Linked DNA regions of Lonchura striata. The main gene of each other region encodes a partner of the protein of the gene in region 2 in a complex. Links are inferred from orthologs where the notes say so. Each region holds a gene or a part of one and is shown on either strand. Other genes may lie near its edges.

Region 1 (7,389 bases), on a different chromosome or scaffold from region 2:
TGGGTGGAATTCCCCGCCTACAATGAATCCACCACTTTTCCCATCATACTTTTACATATATAGCAAACAAAAGGGCAGCAATTACAGTCAAGGTTCCCACACCTTACCCTAACATCACTATTACCCTAACATCACTATTACAAATCAGTCCTTCTTCTGTGTAATATGGGTTGGGTAAGTACTCAATTTGGTATTTACTCATCAATAGTCCTTTCGTTGGATTTTCAGTTTTAAATCTCCAGGAGAACTGGTCACTTGCCACTTGGGTACTGGTTTCTCCACTGGTCCTTTAACTCTGCTGGCATGGGTCCATCCTTTCTCGGCTGTTCATACTGCAGTTTCTGTAGTGAGCAATACAAGATAAGGACCTTCCCATTGAGGGGTTAGTGATGTCTCTTTCCATGTTTTTATTAATACCCAATCTCCTGGTTGCATTTGATGTATTCTTATTTCCAGTGGAGGTCTCTCAGCTATCAATCCCTTTTTCCATAGCTCATTTCTGTATTTCATTAAATTAACAATATAGGTGTTCATGTTTTTGTCCCTTAGATTTGGATGGTCTTGGGGCTCTTCTAGATTATAAGGCATTCCTATAGCATTTCAAAAAGGGAAATTCCCATGTCGGATCTCGGTTGGGTTCTTATGTTCAAAAGTGCTAATGGTAAACACCTTACCCATGACAGTTTAGTTTCTATCATGAGCTTTGTCAATTGTTTCTTTATTTCCCCATTCATTCTTTCAACTATTCCCGAGCTTTTAGGGTGCCATGGGGTATGGTAGTCCCATTTTATCCCTATTGTTGCCATTACTTCCTTGATAATTCTGGACACAAAATGGGGCCATTTGCTTGTGGACCTTGGATATGTTGTGCATCCCAAATTTGCATTCCCGCATTTCTGATCATATTCTTTTCCTCAGCAGTAAAGAAGATGTTCATGATCGACTGTAACTCATCCCAAGTGTATATGTTAGGACCCAGAAATTGATCTAATCTCTCTGCAACCCCTAGAGGATCTTCCAACAAATTCCCCATCTCCTTCTTAAAATCTCGTACATCTCCCGAGCTGAGTGGAACCGAAATAAACCCAATACCTGGTTGTGCCCCTCCCATGGGCATTTCCCTCAATGGTTACAGGTTATGCTGTCTAGCTCTGCTCCTTGTCATCGGTCCCTCATGCTTTGAGGATTTGGGATTTTCATCCTCCTCTTCCGAGGACATATCTGGGGGTGGGGGAGCATTTGGGTCTGGCGGGGGTACGTACAGGGGTGGAACTAGCGGGATTTCTTCCTTCTTTTTATCCTTTCTTCTTGCCCCGGAGTTATCCACGGGCGATTTTTTCTTTCAAGGGGTATAAAAACACTCTACTGCCAGGACTTTCTACCCATATTTTTGCATATTCACTCTCCTCCTGACTGAAAGGGGTTTTGGTGTTTACCCACATGTTCAGGTCCTGCTTCATCCAATCTTCTGAGGACCCAAATATGGGCCAATAAACATTGCGTGATATTTGTTTCCTCCCCACACTTCTACACAGTAATGAATCATTTTTGCCTTATCTTTATCTCCAGTGCCAGGGCAATGTCTCCAGTTGTGTATCATAAACCCCAATGGGCTGTCCCCAGGAACTGGGGGAAGTTTTACAGGTACAGAGGGCTTGCTCTTCCCCTGCCCCATCTTCTGGAGTGCCTTCAATCGTTCCACGCAAAAACCAGCTTCCCCTGGTCAGTGGCTGTCGTGGTTTGACACGGAAAGAGCAATGAGAACCGCACTACTGAGGGTCCGCACTGTTATAAATGAGATATACACATAACAGCGCTCACTTGGGGAGTCCGAGCTGCCAGCCCCCCTCTAATACACCACACTCGTCACACTCCAGGATCCCGACCCCTTTTAATACTCACGCTTCCTGCGTCTTCGTCCGGACCTTTGTCCAAAAAGTTTATAGGGTCGACCGGTCTCCTTTTGCTTTAATGCCTTGAATTTAGGTTCGTCGGTGGGAGCGAGGCAGGGACCGATCACCAAGGCCACCAGTGCTGGGGCGCCTCCTCGGTAATCGTGCCCTACTGTACCAATCCCATCCGAGTCACGGCACCAAATTGTGATAAATCTGACCACACATTTGGATAAATATGATCGAATCAAGGAATTTTATTAATTACAGCAAGCAAGGCAAAAGCAAAAAACAGCCCTGGGCGCAACTGCCGCAACCCCAGCAGGTTTCAGTTCATCTTTTATACAGTTCCGTTTCCTGCTGACGTGTCTCAAGCTGTGCTCTGCGCCTGTGCCTTTCGCTTGGCAGTGGTCCTGTGATAAAGGCTGGGCGGTGTATTCTGCTCCCGGTGGTCCTGTGATAAAGGCTGCGCGATGTATTCTGCTCCCGGTGGTCCTGTGATAAAGGCTGGGCGGTGTATTCTGCTCCCGGTGGTCCTGTGATAAAGGCTGCGCGATGTATTCTGCTCCCGGTGGTCCTGTGATAAAGGCTGGGCGGTGTATTCTGCTCCCGCTGGTCCTGTGATAAAGGCTGGGCGGTGTATTCTGCTCCCGGTGGTCCTGTGATAAAGGCTGGGCGGTGTATTCTGCTCCCGGTGGTCCTGTGATAAAGGCTGGGCGGTGTATTCTGCTCCCGGTGGTCCTGTGATAAAGGCTGGGTGGTCTTCCTCATGCTTGAGTTCCTGGATCTTAAGGCTTTTTGAGCAATTAGACATTCAGCAAGAGCATGTTTGCATATGAGTTTCATCTTGATCTTAGAGCCTTAGTTTTCTGTTTTTAACCCTTTAATGGACAAAACATTCCTCAATCTATCACACTTCCCAGCTCCATTCCCTGCCCTGGACACGCTCCAGCCCCTCCACGTCTCCTGTCAGGAGGGGCCCGGAGCCGCCCTCAGGACCGGCGGTGCCCCGTAGAGCCAGCCCAGGGCACGATCGCTGCCCCGGGCCGGTCCCGCAGGGGCCGAGCGGGGCCGAGCCGGGCTCCTCCCGCGGCGGGGCCGGCCCGGCCTGAGGGGGCGGCCCGGGCGCGTTTGGCGCCATCGCCGCCATGGAGCCCGAGCGGCTGCGGCGCCGCCTCAGCTCCGCGTTCCGCCTGCGGGGGCTCGTCCTGCGCCCGTGAGTAGCGCCGGCCCCGGCCCCGCTCCGGCCCCGGCCCCGGCCCCGCTCCGGCCCCGGCCCCGCTCCGGACCGGCCCCGGGCGGGCCTCGGGCCCGGGCAGCGCCGGGGCGCGGTGGGGCCGGGCCGCTCCGCATCCCCCGCGCCGCCGCCTCGGGATGTGGGGCTGCCTTTCCCACCTCTTCCTTGCCCCGCATCCAGCTCTGGAGGCTCCTCCAGAGCCATCCGCCTGTCCTGCTGATGCAGGCCGCTTTTACCCATCCCTCTCATGGCCCTGGGTGCCACCAAAAGCTGCCCGTGGTCTCCCCTTGTAGCCCTCCCTGATGTTGGTGCCGGGTGTTTGGTTGAGTTTTTTTGTCTGCCCCGGACCCTGACAGCTCTGGGATCTGAGTTCCACTTGCCAGTCTTGTGCTCAGCATTCTTTGCTAGAGGAAGGGATGGCATTTCCAAAGACAGGAAGGGTGTATTTCTAAATATAATGGGATGTATTATTTAGAGATGCTAAGGTCAATTAAAAGGGATTCCTGCTTGCAGTGGAAGGTGTCATGATTTATAAGAGACTGGGTTTCCCATCGCTCTTACTTTCCCTTTCTTTCTCGTGTGTATTAATATCCATTAAATGATCTTTCTATTGTGGTTGGAATGTGATTCTTTAGGATACTTTCATTAGAGAGCAGCACAAGTCCAGAACTCCTGACACCACAGTTCCATGAGCTGAGATGTTTTGAAGGTCAGGCTGATCACCAAAATGCCACTTTGGTTGGCTAACAGATGACATTAATAAGAAAATTTTTATATTTAATGCAAGACTCTTGTCTAAGGCTGAGGGGAAAACCAGATTTCTAAATCTTGTGTTATTGAGAATGAAAATAACTTCTATTTCAAATATATTGATAAACTGGAGCAGGTCCTGTGGGAGCTGTTGAGGTCCTGGGCTGGAGGCCAGGAAGAGCTGGAAGCTGCTCTGGTGACATCCCAGCTTCAGGGCTACACACGGATTTGGAGTCCAAAATGAGAGATGTGGAGCTGCTGGAGCGAGTCCAGAGAGGCCATGGAGCTGCTCCCAGGGTTGGAGCCCCTCTGGAGCCGGGCTGGGAGAGCTGGGAATGTTCCCCTGGAGAGGAGAAGCTCCAGGGAGAGCTCAGAGCCCCTGGCAGGGCCTGAAGAGGCTCCAGGAGAGCTGGAGAGGGACTGGGGACAAGGGATGGAGGGACAGGACACAGAGAATGGCTCCCACTGCCAGAGGGCAGGGATGGGTGGGAGATTGGGAAGGAATTCCCAGAGAATTCCCAGATACTGGGGTGGAATTCCCAGATTTGCTGTGGCTGTCCCAGCATCCCTGGAAGTGTCCCAGGCCAGGTTGGACACTGGGGCTTGGAGCAGCCTGGGACAGTGGAAGGTGTCCCTGTTGTAGGCAGGGAGTTGGAATGGGATGAGCTTTGAGGTCCCTTCCCAGCCAAACCATTCTGGAATTCTGTGATTAGAGGGTCAGAGAACGTGGCATGGAGAGGATGTGAAGGATTTGGGTTTATTTAGCCTCAAGAAGGGAAGATTCCTGAGGACTTAATCCCAGTCTTCCTAAAAGTGAGAAGTGTTCTCAAGGATGCACAGTGACAGGGCAAGAGACATTTAATTCTTCATTGTAATAGTAATTAAACTTTGAAATTGATGGAGTAGGGAAGTGCTGGAATCTCCCTCAGTGGAAGTTCTCAAGGCTTGGCTCCACAGGGCCCAGGAAAGCATAACCCAAGCCCTGCTTCCAGGAGAAGGTTGGACCACAGGGTCTTCAGAATTCCCTTCCAACATGGAATTTTTTAAGTGAAGCTGAGGTTCTCCACATCTTTTCCCTGATATTTTCAATCTCAGTGATTTTTTTCTTTGACTTTAAACCCACGTGCTGTTATGCAGAACTAATTATTTCTGCTTTTTAACCACAAGCCACGTGGTGATGATGCGCACACCTGCCAAAATCAGCACAGTTTGTGTCAACTATGGAATATTAATTGCTTTTTGTGCTTTCTCCTCTGGGATTAGGGACGCCCTGAAGTATCTCACTGAAGCTTTCCAGTCCACCAGGGAGGGAGAACTTGACGATATAATTGAAAATGTCATCGATGCAGTTGAAAAACAGCCTTGTAAGTAAACAATTTCTTTTTCTTGAGCCGGTTTTCCTGGCATTTCTGATGTGATCAAGGCAGTTACAGCAGAGCCACTGAGGTGTCACTGCAGTGTAAAGGGTTGATTGAGATAAATGTATTTTTTGGCCTTTTATTTTGTCAGCAGAAGACATTTGTGCCAAGTAAACAGTTGACAGTGCAGAATATCCTGACTTTTCCAAGAGTAGTAGCATTTTTCAGTGACAGTCATTAAGAGTTTGTCTGGACATCTTTGTACCTGAAACTGTAATTTTAAATATAAAAAGTGGAGACAGACTATTTACACATGGAGGGACAGGACACAGGGAATGGCTTCCCACTGCCAAAGGGCAGGGTTAGATGGAATGTTTTGAAGGAATATTTTAAGGAATATTTTGATGGAATATTTTGAAGGAATTCTTACCTGTTAGGGTGGGGAGGCCTTCAAACTAATTTCAATTAAATGAAAACAACAATGCGCCCATCTCCAGAATTGTGTTGGAATACTTAAGGCAGCAATCCTTGTGATAATGTTCTGGAACCAAACACATTTGTGATATATTTGGCAGCTCTGCATAAACTGTAATTGTCTTGTTCTCCATGTTTGGGGAATTCAGGGTGGGCACAGGGTATTTTTTTCCCTAGGAATTTGTCCTTTTGGTGGCAATATTAAGTGAGCCATCTGTGTGTCATTACAGAAAACATGAATTATTTGTGTGTATTCCATTAAGGGGACTCAGCCATTTAATGTAGTGAAATATTGGGCACCCGCTTCCTTCCCTGCTGCAGGTTTTATCCTTGGGATTTTTCTTTGCAGTGTCATCCAACATGATTGAGCAGCCCTTGGTGGAAGCAGCTGTCCAGGAATGCTGCCGGGCCCCGGATGAGGCCATGTAGGGTGACATTATTAAATTTTATGGGAACTTCTGGGAGCTGCTGTCATTTCCTTGTTCCTCCTGGGGAAAGGAATGCCAGGCCTTGTCTGCAGTCATTGCTCTGTGCTTTTGCCTTCCTGCTGCTGCCTTTGCACCAGTGATGCCTCAGGTTTTGGCTTTTGTATTTTTTTACATTCTGTGCTGCTTTAGTGTGCAGTTCTGAGCTTCACATGAGGGGATGCTGAGCTCTGTGCACAGAGCAGGGAGACAAAACAATTCCTGCTCCAGGTGGGCACCAAGGACAAATTATCCAAACCTCAGCCCCAAGAGCACAAACAGGGTGGGCTGGAGAGAGAAAAACAAGCAGGATGGGACTGCCTGGGCTAAAGCTGGAATAATTGTGACATCTTCAAATCCTGGCTGATGTGCCTTAAAAAAGCCTTTGAGTATTAAAAGCCCCAAAAGTGAAGAAAGGAAAGAGCAGCTCGGTGCTGGAGAAGAGTCACTGCTTTACTCTAGGAATCATTAATAATCAGAAGGAATGAGATACAAAAAACCCCAAACATTTCCAGGTTCAAAAAGCTTTATTAACACACACTGACACGTGCAAGGATGAACTGAGCTTGCAGCAAATGTGGGGGATTTTTTGCAGTTTGTAAAGACCATTTTATCCTAGGGGTGAAATGCTTCAAATGGTTAAAACCAAGTGGTGATTCCCCAGGTTTCAGCTTTTCTATTTTACAGATTCTGTGCTGCTTTAGTGTGTGGGTCTGGGCTCCAGATCAGGGGATGCTGAGCTCTGTGCACAGAGCAGGGACACAAAACAATTCCTGCTCCAGCTGGGCACCAAGGACAAATGATCCAAACCTCAGCCCAGGAGCACAAACAGCGTGGGCTGGAGAGAGAAAAACAAGCAGGGTGGGACTGCCTGGGCTGGAGCTGGAATGGGACAATGAACTCCAAGGTGCCAATGGAGCAGAACTGATCCCAGGGAGAGCCCCGGGAGCGCTCGTGCATTTTGGGACCATTTTGGGTCATTTGGGTGCAGCCCTGGCTGGGCTCTGGTGCTGCCCAAGGTGGATCCATGGAGGAGATCCTTTAATAAATCTCTGCTTTATTCTGTGACTCCATCCAGCCTCTGCTCTGGGTCAGGTTTCACAAGGCATCACCAGGCTGCTCCTTGGAGCGTTTGTTCTCATGGCTGGGCCTCCAGGGGGCCCTGAAGAGAATCTGGAATTCTGGAATTCAGCTGCTGGTGTTGTGTGTTGGGT
Region 2 (7,576 bases):
CGTCCATGTGGCTGAAAATAGCTCCTGACCTGGTACACAGGATTTGTCCAAGTCTCTGTCTTAGGTCACATAGGAAAGTCCACTCAATCAGCAGAATTTTAGGCTGGCGCTTTTTTGACAGTTAAAACTGCTGAATTCGTTTATGGCTAAAAAAAGAATGCCAGGAAGATATTTTGAAAGTGCTGCCTCGGAGGCCTCCATCAGAGGTGAGCTAAACTTAGAGGGCCTGAGGTAGGAAGAGAAGTGTGTGAGTGACACCTCCAAGGGACAGCTCCATCCTCTGGGGACCAGGCTCCTGCCTGCAGTGCCTGGCCTGTCTTTAGGGGGAGGAAAAATGGAATCATTCCAGGCACCAGCTCTCAGTTAGAGGCCTGATGCCCTTAAAAATTTAGAGATTAAAATGACCAAGTGAAGCTTATTTTTAAAAAGGATGCTGTTGAGTCTTTCACATTCATTCTTCTTCCATGGCCAAAAGGAAAAAAAACTTTAAAAAACAGAGCAATCGTGGACAGTCTCTCAAGGAAATTTAAATTGGTAAGTGCAAACCATCCAACAACAGTTTGGGATGTGTCTCTGTCTTCATCCAACACCAGTTTGAGATGTGTTCCTGCCTTCATCCAACACCAGTTTGGGATGTGTCCCTGTGTCTCATCCCTCATCCAACACCAGTTTGGGATGTGTCCCTGTGTCTCATCCCTCATCCAAAACAGTTTGGGATGTGTCCCTGTGTCTCATCCAGCACCAGTCTGGGATGTGTTCCTGTGTCCTCGCCTCCTGCCTTGTGACCACTGGGTCTCTTGCTGTTTGTTTTGAGTCCCCTGAGCGCTGCCCTGTCCCCTGAGTCACCCAGAGCCGGGTGGATCCGTTCAGCACTAGGAGGGGGAGAGGTGTGAAGTGACTCACGGGGATAGGAACGCACTGAACGCTTCTCAGGCTCAAGACCTCACAGTTAATCCTGCAACCCCACAACATTCAGAGCAGAGCCAGGGAGTGCCCAGAGGGAAGGGTTTGCTGTTCAGAACTCCCCTGTGCACCACGTCCTGGCACACCTCATCCCTGATTCTACAGGAGCTGTTACTGCAACAACAGCCTCTTATTTACAGGACTTGGATGGCACCCATCCAAACAGGGCTTCAAGAGTGCTGGAAAAAATATAGGCGTTCCACAGTGACTGTTCTACATTGGAATAATCTGTATTTTTTGTATTAATATTTTTTTCTTTGGCCATGATGATGCTGAAGTGTCATTTTCACAGAAGTCAAGTGAGATTCAAGCCCCTCTGTACTAACAGTGGGTTCTGAGGAGTACAAACATTGCTGGGTAAGCTCTGTGCCTGCAGATAAACCTTAAATGTCACATTTTTGTGCAATGTTGTGAAAAACAAGCAGGCTAAAGGAGTGCCCACCCTCACTGCAGGCATAAAAATCACAGTGTTCATCTCCTGACTATCAGTACAGAGTCATCAAACAATCACAGAATGTGGAAGGGACCTTAAAGATCCTTTCATTCCATCCCTGCCATGGCAGGGACACCTCCCACTGTCCCAGGCTGCTCCCAGCCCTGTCCAGCCTGGCCTTGGGCACTGCCAGGGATCCAGGGGCAGCCACAGCTGCTCTGGGCACCCTGTGCCAGGGCCTGCCCACCCTGCCAGGGTGCTTTCTTAGTATCTAATTTAAAGCATTTAAATCTAAATCTGTTATAGCCTTTCCCTGAAGTACAGAAGGACCATATTGTCCTATGGTTTTTCTTTCCCTCTCAGGCTGAGCTGAGCTGCTGCTCCTCTGTCACTGTATTTATACCTGTGTACATGGAACAATATTTTTGTTGCAGTGTAAAATGTGACTCGCAGCAGTAAACTTGAGCACTGCATGCTCAACATCTTCCATGTTTTACACACGACAGCGAAACAAGACTAGGAAGCTGATTTAAAATAAAGGCTCTGGATTTACAGGATATAAGGCCAGGATAGCTGCCCCTGGATCCCTGGAAGTGTCCAAGGCCAGGCTGGACAGGGCTTGGAGCAACCTGGGACAGTGGAAGGTGTCCCTGTCCATGGAATGGGCTTTAATGTCCCTTCCTGGGACTCAATGTACCAATCTCCAGACATTGTAATTAAAAACAAACATAGACTCACACCAGGGACCAGGGAGGAGAGCCTGTTGTGTCCAGAAGACACACAGAGCTGGATGGTCCCAGCCCAGGCTTTGCTGCTGAATGGGGCAGCTTTGGGCCATATCCCTGGATTTGGGCAGCCCCATTCCTGGCTCTGCTCCATCCCACCCCTTCTCCAGGCAGTATCACACCACCAACTTGCTTGGTTCTCAATTCATGGACAAGAACACCTCATGCTCTATAACACAGAAGCCAAAATGAGCAGCAGGGGCTCCCAAGGGCTCCAAGAGCTCTGAGCCACCCCCCTGTCCAGGATCCGAGTCTATCATGGTCACTGTCACAGCAGCTCAGCCTGTCATGGTCACTGTCACAGCAGCTCAACCTGTCATGGTCACTGTCACAGCAGTTCAACCTGTCATGGTCACTGTCACAGCAGCTCAACCTGTCATGGTCACTGTCACAGCAGCTAGCCTGCCATGTGTGAATGCCCCCTCCCAATGGCAGCACTGCCACACCTGCCCAGGAACACCCAGCAGCCAGGGTTAACAACAGAGCACATGGAAAGGAGCTAAAACCAAAACTTACACATGATTTGTACAGCAGGGACGGAGTTTATTAATCCAGTCCCTGGAACTGGAACAGGGGCTCACACGGGCCTGGCCCAGGTGTACTCAGGGTGTGCTTCTCCCAGCACAGCACAGTTACCTTCACCTGTGCTCACAAATCTCTGCCCACTCTCCCCACAACAGAAACACTGCCCTTGGTAACAGGAAATTCCCATTTTCCATGGAAAAGAGCCGCACTGTCAATCACTGCTCACAATTTCAAATATCACCACAGCACCTAATTAATGTGCTTTCTTGCACTCTGAGCTTGCTTAATTACCTGGTCAGGTTACCAACAGGGATAAAGTCTCATGGAATTACAGGGTTTAGGCCAGGCATGGAGCCAGTGGGGCAGGGATGGAGAAGCTCACAGCCCTGTGCCCTCACACAGCCACAAGGGAAGAGGCCAGAACCCAGTGTGGGGAAAACAGCTGTTATTTCCTGTTGGAAATTATGTAACTCTCTTAATTGTTTTAATTAATTGCAACCAGTGCCCACATTCAGATAGCACTAGTTAACTTTCTTCACAGGCTCTTACAATTACTTTGATCACTAAATAACCAAAACCTCAGATTTGCTACAAGTAACTCAGCCAAGCTTCAATAAACAAAGCCAAAGGGAGTTGGAGATTGGACATCTGGGATCTTAAATTTATGACCCTTCAAGTGTGTTGGAGTAAGCAAAAAATGCAGAGGAGATTAAGGCATGGAAAGTTGGAGATTCCCTGACTGGGAAAAAGATTATAAAAGTAATAAAGTATGTGGACCAGATTAGTGTGAAGAGTGAGAAATTAACAACCAAGAGCAGATAGAACACTAAGTAATAAAGAGAATTATGTAACCTAGAGCAAATGAACATGAATTGGTTTGCTAAAAATGTACAAATAAGTGAAAAAGTTTTGTATCTGTGTTAGTGCAGATGCTGGAGCTTTGTCAGCTACACACATTCTTGGCTAAGGATACAGAAATGCCTGACTCGCTAAGAGTGTCACACTGCCTTAGAGGGAGCCTTACTGATCCCAAGGGCTTTGGGGGATCTTGGGAACATTCCCAGAGGCAGCAGCTCTGCCCCAGGGCTGCCCCAGCTCCCCCTGTGCCTGGCCCTGCTCGCAGCCCCCAGTAACGGCAGTGTGACCACCTGGACCTACAGGTGAACCTGTCCCTGTGCATTCACCTGAACCTTCACCTACAGCTGAACTTGTACCTGCACCGTCCCCTGCACGTGAATCTGTCCCTGAATCATGCCCTGCACCTGAACCTGTCCCATCACCTGAACCTGTCCCATCACCCACATATGAACCTGTCCCTGCACCATCCCCTGCACCTGAACTTGTCCCATCACTGCACCTGAACCTGTCCCTGCATCATCCCCTGCACCTGAACCTGTCCCTGAAACATCCCCTGCACCTGAACCTGTCCCACCACTTACCAATGAACCTGTCCCTTCACCCACAGATGAATCCGTCCGTGCACCATCCCCTGCACCTGTCCCTGTGCCTTCACCTGAATCTTCATCTATACCTGAACCCATCCCCTCACCTACACCCGAACCCATCCCAGTCCCTTCAGCTACACCTCTCCCTTCACCTACACCTGAACCTGTCCTCACATTATCACCTACACCTGATCCCATCCCCTCACCTACACCCAAACCCATCCCAGTCCCTTCACCTACATCTGTCCCCGTCCCATCACCTGCACTTGTCCCTACACTTGCACCTACACCTATGCATGCATACATACACCTACAGCCACGCCTGCCCTTTTCCCGTTCCTACGCCTGCCTCTTCTCGCTGTCCCTTGCCTGTCCCCGCCGTCCCTCAGGCCGCGCCGCCATTTCCCGCCGCGGTGCGCGCCGGGAGCGGGCGGGGCGGCGAGCGCGGCTGGGTACGGGCGGGCCGGGCGGCTGAGGGGCCGAGGGGGCCCGTGTGCTGAGGGGCCGAGAGGGGCCGAGAGGGGCCGAGGGGGACCGTGAGGGGTCCGTGTGCTGAGGGGCCGAGAGGGGCCGTGAGGGGTCCGTGTGCTGAGGGGTCGTGAGGGGTCCGTGTGCTGAGGGGCCGTGAGGAGTCGTGAGGGATCCGTGTGCTGAGGGGCCGAGAGGGGCCGTGAGGGGTCCGTGTGCTGAGGGGCCGTGAGGAGTCGTGAGGGATCCGTGTGCTGAGGGGCCGTGAGGGGCCCGTGTGCTGAGGGGCCGTGAGGGGTCCGTGTGCTGAGGGATCCCCCGTCCCGCGGGATCCCGCCCAGCCCCGCGCCCCTGACGCCGCGTTTGCCTTGCAGGAGGCCCAGGATGGCGGAGAGACCGGAGGACCTGAACCTGCCCAACGCCGTCATCACCCGCATCATCAAGGAGGCGGTGGGTGCCGGGCCCCGCGGGGCCCCGGCCCGCGGGCTCTGCCCTGCGCTGTCCCGCTCGGGTACCGGGGCTGCAGCGCTCGCTGCAGCTCCCGAGCCATGCAGCTGCACCGCTGCAGCGTCCCGAGCCACGCGGCTGCACCGCTGCAGCTCGGCAGCAGCGCAGTTCCCGCAGTGGCACTGTGAGAACCAGGCCCCCTGAAACTTCAGCACACGAGTCCATGTCTATATAAAAATCCAGAATAATTCGCTGGGGTTGATTGAGCGCGTTTGCTCTGGAGCTGTGAGGGTTGCCGAGTGGATCTGGGCCTGGCGGGCGTGTCTGGAGCTGGGCAGGCACAGGATGAGTTACCTGAGACAGTGGCCAGACCCCAAACGCCGGAGTCATTGGGCTTGTGCTCAGCTCTGTGCCTTCGAGGGACACATTCCTACTGCCCTTGGCTTCCAGCTGGAAGCAGAGCTCCTGCGACAGCACCCCAGAGCAGTTCCCAGTTCTTCTGAGCCCTCTGAGTGTTTTAACAAACTGACACTTCAATTATGGAGTTTAAGTCGTTTTTAGCAGCTGCTGATAAAAGTTGGATTTGTTTTTCAGCTTCCTGAGGGAGTCAATATTTCCAAAGAAGCCCGGAGCGCGATCTCCCGAGCAGCAAGTGTGTTTGTGCTGTATGCAACATCATGGTAAGGACTTGGTGCAGCAGTCACTGGGGCACTTGATTGATAATTCATTTCTGCTGGCCTGGGGACTCTCTCCCAGTGTTGGTTTTCTGTTTTGCCTGTTTATATAAATAAACTAGTCTGCAGCAGGTGGGTTTGGACTGCCCAGAGCAGCCCTTGGGAAGGTAGCTGGGCTCTGGACACAGCCATGTCCCAAAAAAGGGGGGTCCCCAAAAAGAGGGGTCCCAAATTGCCATTAACCTTAGAACGTGGCTGCACAGCCTTCCTGGCAAAGGCAGAGCGCTTGACTCATTTTCAGGCTCTTCATCATGAAGCTGTGTTGGGGCAAGAGCTGCCACAGAGGACACAGTCACGTTTTTGGGGTGGCTTGGCGTATTCTCTGCAGGCAGTCACTCCTCTAGTGTCAGGGGCTTCTATGGAACCCTAGCCCTTCTAGGGCTCTGTGGAACTGTCACAGCCAAGGCTCAGGCTTTCTCCTCCTGCTTGTAGAAAAGGTCTGTGCAGGCAGAAACTAACCCTGTGGGAAAGCACAGACATTGTAAATAAAAATGTCTCAAGCCTCCTTTAGTAAATGGTAAAGAAACCTAAATGTTTAGGGGATGGCTTTTTAAAGTTGCTTATGACTTCAGTAAACAAGATGAAATTGCCAACAGTCCTCAATTACCTCTCTTTTTGGTTCTGCCTAGTGCAAATAACTTTGCCATGAAGGGGAAGAGGAAAACCCTGAATGCTGGGGACGTGCTTTCTGCCATGGAGGAGATGGAGTTCCAGAGATTCGTGGCCCCTCTGAAGGAATCCCTGGAAGGTACTGTGCTCCGTGGGTGTCCAGGGACTCTGAGAGGCACCAAGTCCTGTTCTCCTCCAACGCTGGACAAGCAACACTTATTGCCTGTCTTGTTTCTCTTCTCTTTGCCCAGCATCCTACCTTGCAGTTTGCCTGGGGAGTAACTAATGTGCACCTTAACAGGACTGGGATAACATTCTTGCACAACTGATGAGGATTGAGAAAGTCTCATCTGCTCTCACTCCCCTATTATGTTTATCTAAGGAAAGCCGTAGGTGCTGCCTGTAAATGTGACCTGCGTCCTTTTCAGCATTTTTCTGCTGAAATTTAACCTGATTTCCTATGGAGCTGCTCAGCACAGCTCAGCTCGTAGGGTGAGTTGTGCTCTGAGTTCCCTGCTCCCCTCAAAGCCAGGAGAGCAAGTGGACGTTGGGCCTCAGCCACTGACCTGTCCATGCCAGCGCCAAGCCCTCACTGTTCCCTCTCCTCCAGTTTACAGGCGTGAGCAGAAAGGAAAGAAGGAGGCCAGGAAAGATAAAGACAAGAAGGCAGACTCGGAGGAACAAGATAAGAGCCGAGAGGAGGACAATGATGAGGATGATGAAAGGATGGAGGAGGAAGAACAAAACGATGAGGAAGAGGTGGATAACTGAGCTCGCTCGTGGGCAAGGGCTGGGGTGTGCTCAGAGGGATGTAAACGCTGTAAATCGACCGTGCTGCATCCCCTCGTGTATCCATTAGAGCTTTGTACTGCCCCTCTGTGGCCTGTACTTTGTAAAGGACTCGTGCTGAAGCTTTTTCCGTGGCAGGGTGGCTCCTCCCTGTGCCTGGGGGCCTTTGGCCCTCCCCAGGCTCTGGGCAGGCACTTCCGGGGCTTTTGATGCTGGGCTGGCTCTGAAAGAGAGGAAAAAAGAACTGGTGGGTGCTCAGTGCAGAAACTGGCCAGGAGAAAGACTCCTGATTTTGAGGGGCTGAATGCAGTAGATCATTCAGAGATCACTTCTGGGGTGTAGAATGTAGGTGATGATGTCCAGAGGCTTGGAAGCTGC

The links. Proteins that work in one complex are often made in the same cells at the same time.
Region 1: POLE3 (region 2) and POLE2 share a complex: the UniProt entries of both Homo sapiens proteins name them as parts of the DNA polymerase epsilon complex. The link is inferred for Lonchura striata from reciprocal best matches to the Homo sapiens genes POLE3 and POLE2.

The regions. Positions count from the first base shown.
Region 1 is NC_134608.1:1,889,504-1,896,892, reverse strand, and holds the start of POLE2 (DNA polymerase epsilon subunit 2), read left to right. Parts: upstream 1-4,386; 5' UTR 4,387-5,056; coding exon 5,057-5,243; intron 5,244-6,060; coding exon 6,061-6,136; intron 6,137-7,389. UniProt on the Homo sapiens protein: Accessory component of the DNA polymerase epsilon complex. Participates in DNA repair and in chromosomal DNA replication.
Region 2 is NC_134624.1:4,748,411-4,755,986, reverse strand, and holds POLE3 (DNA polymerase epsilon subunit 3), read left to right. Parts: upstream 1-4,561; 5' UTR 4,562-4,603; intron 4,604-4,805; exon of another isoform or gene 4,806-4,828; intron 4,829-4,993; 5' UTR 4,994-5,003; coding exon 5,004-5,069; intron 5,070-5,660; coding exon 5,661-5,746; intron 5,747-6,429; coding exon 6,430-6,548; intron 6,549-7,019; coding exon 7,020-7,180; 3' UTR 7,181-7,282; downstream 7,283-7,576. UniProt on the Homo sapiens protein: Accessory component of the DNA polymerase epsilon complex. Participates in DNA repair and in chromosomal DNA replication.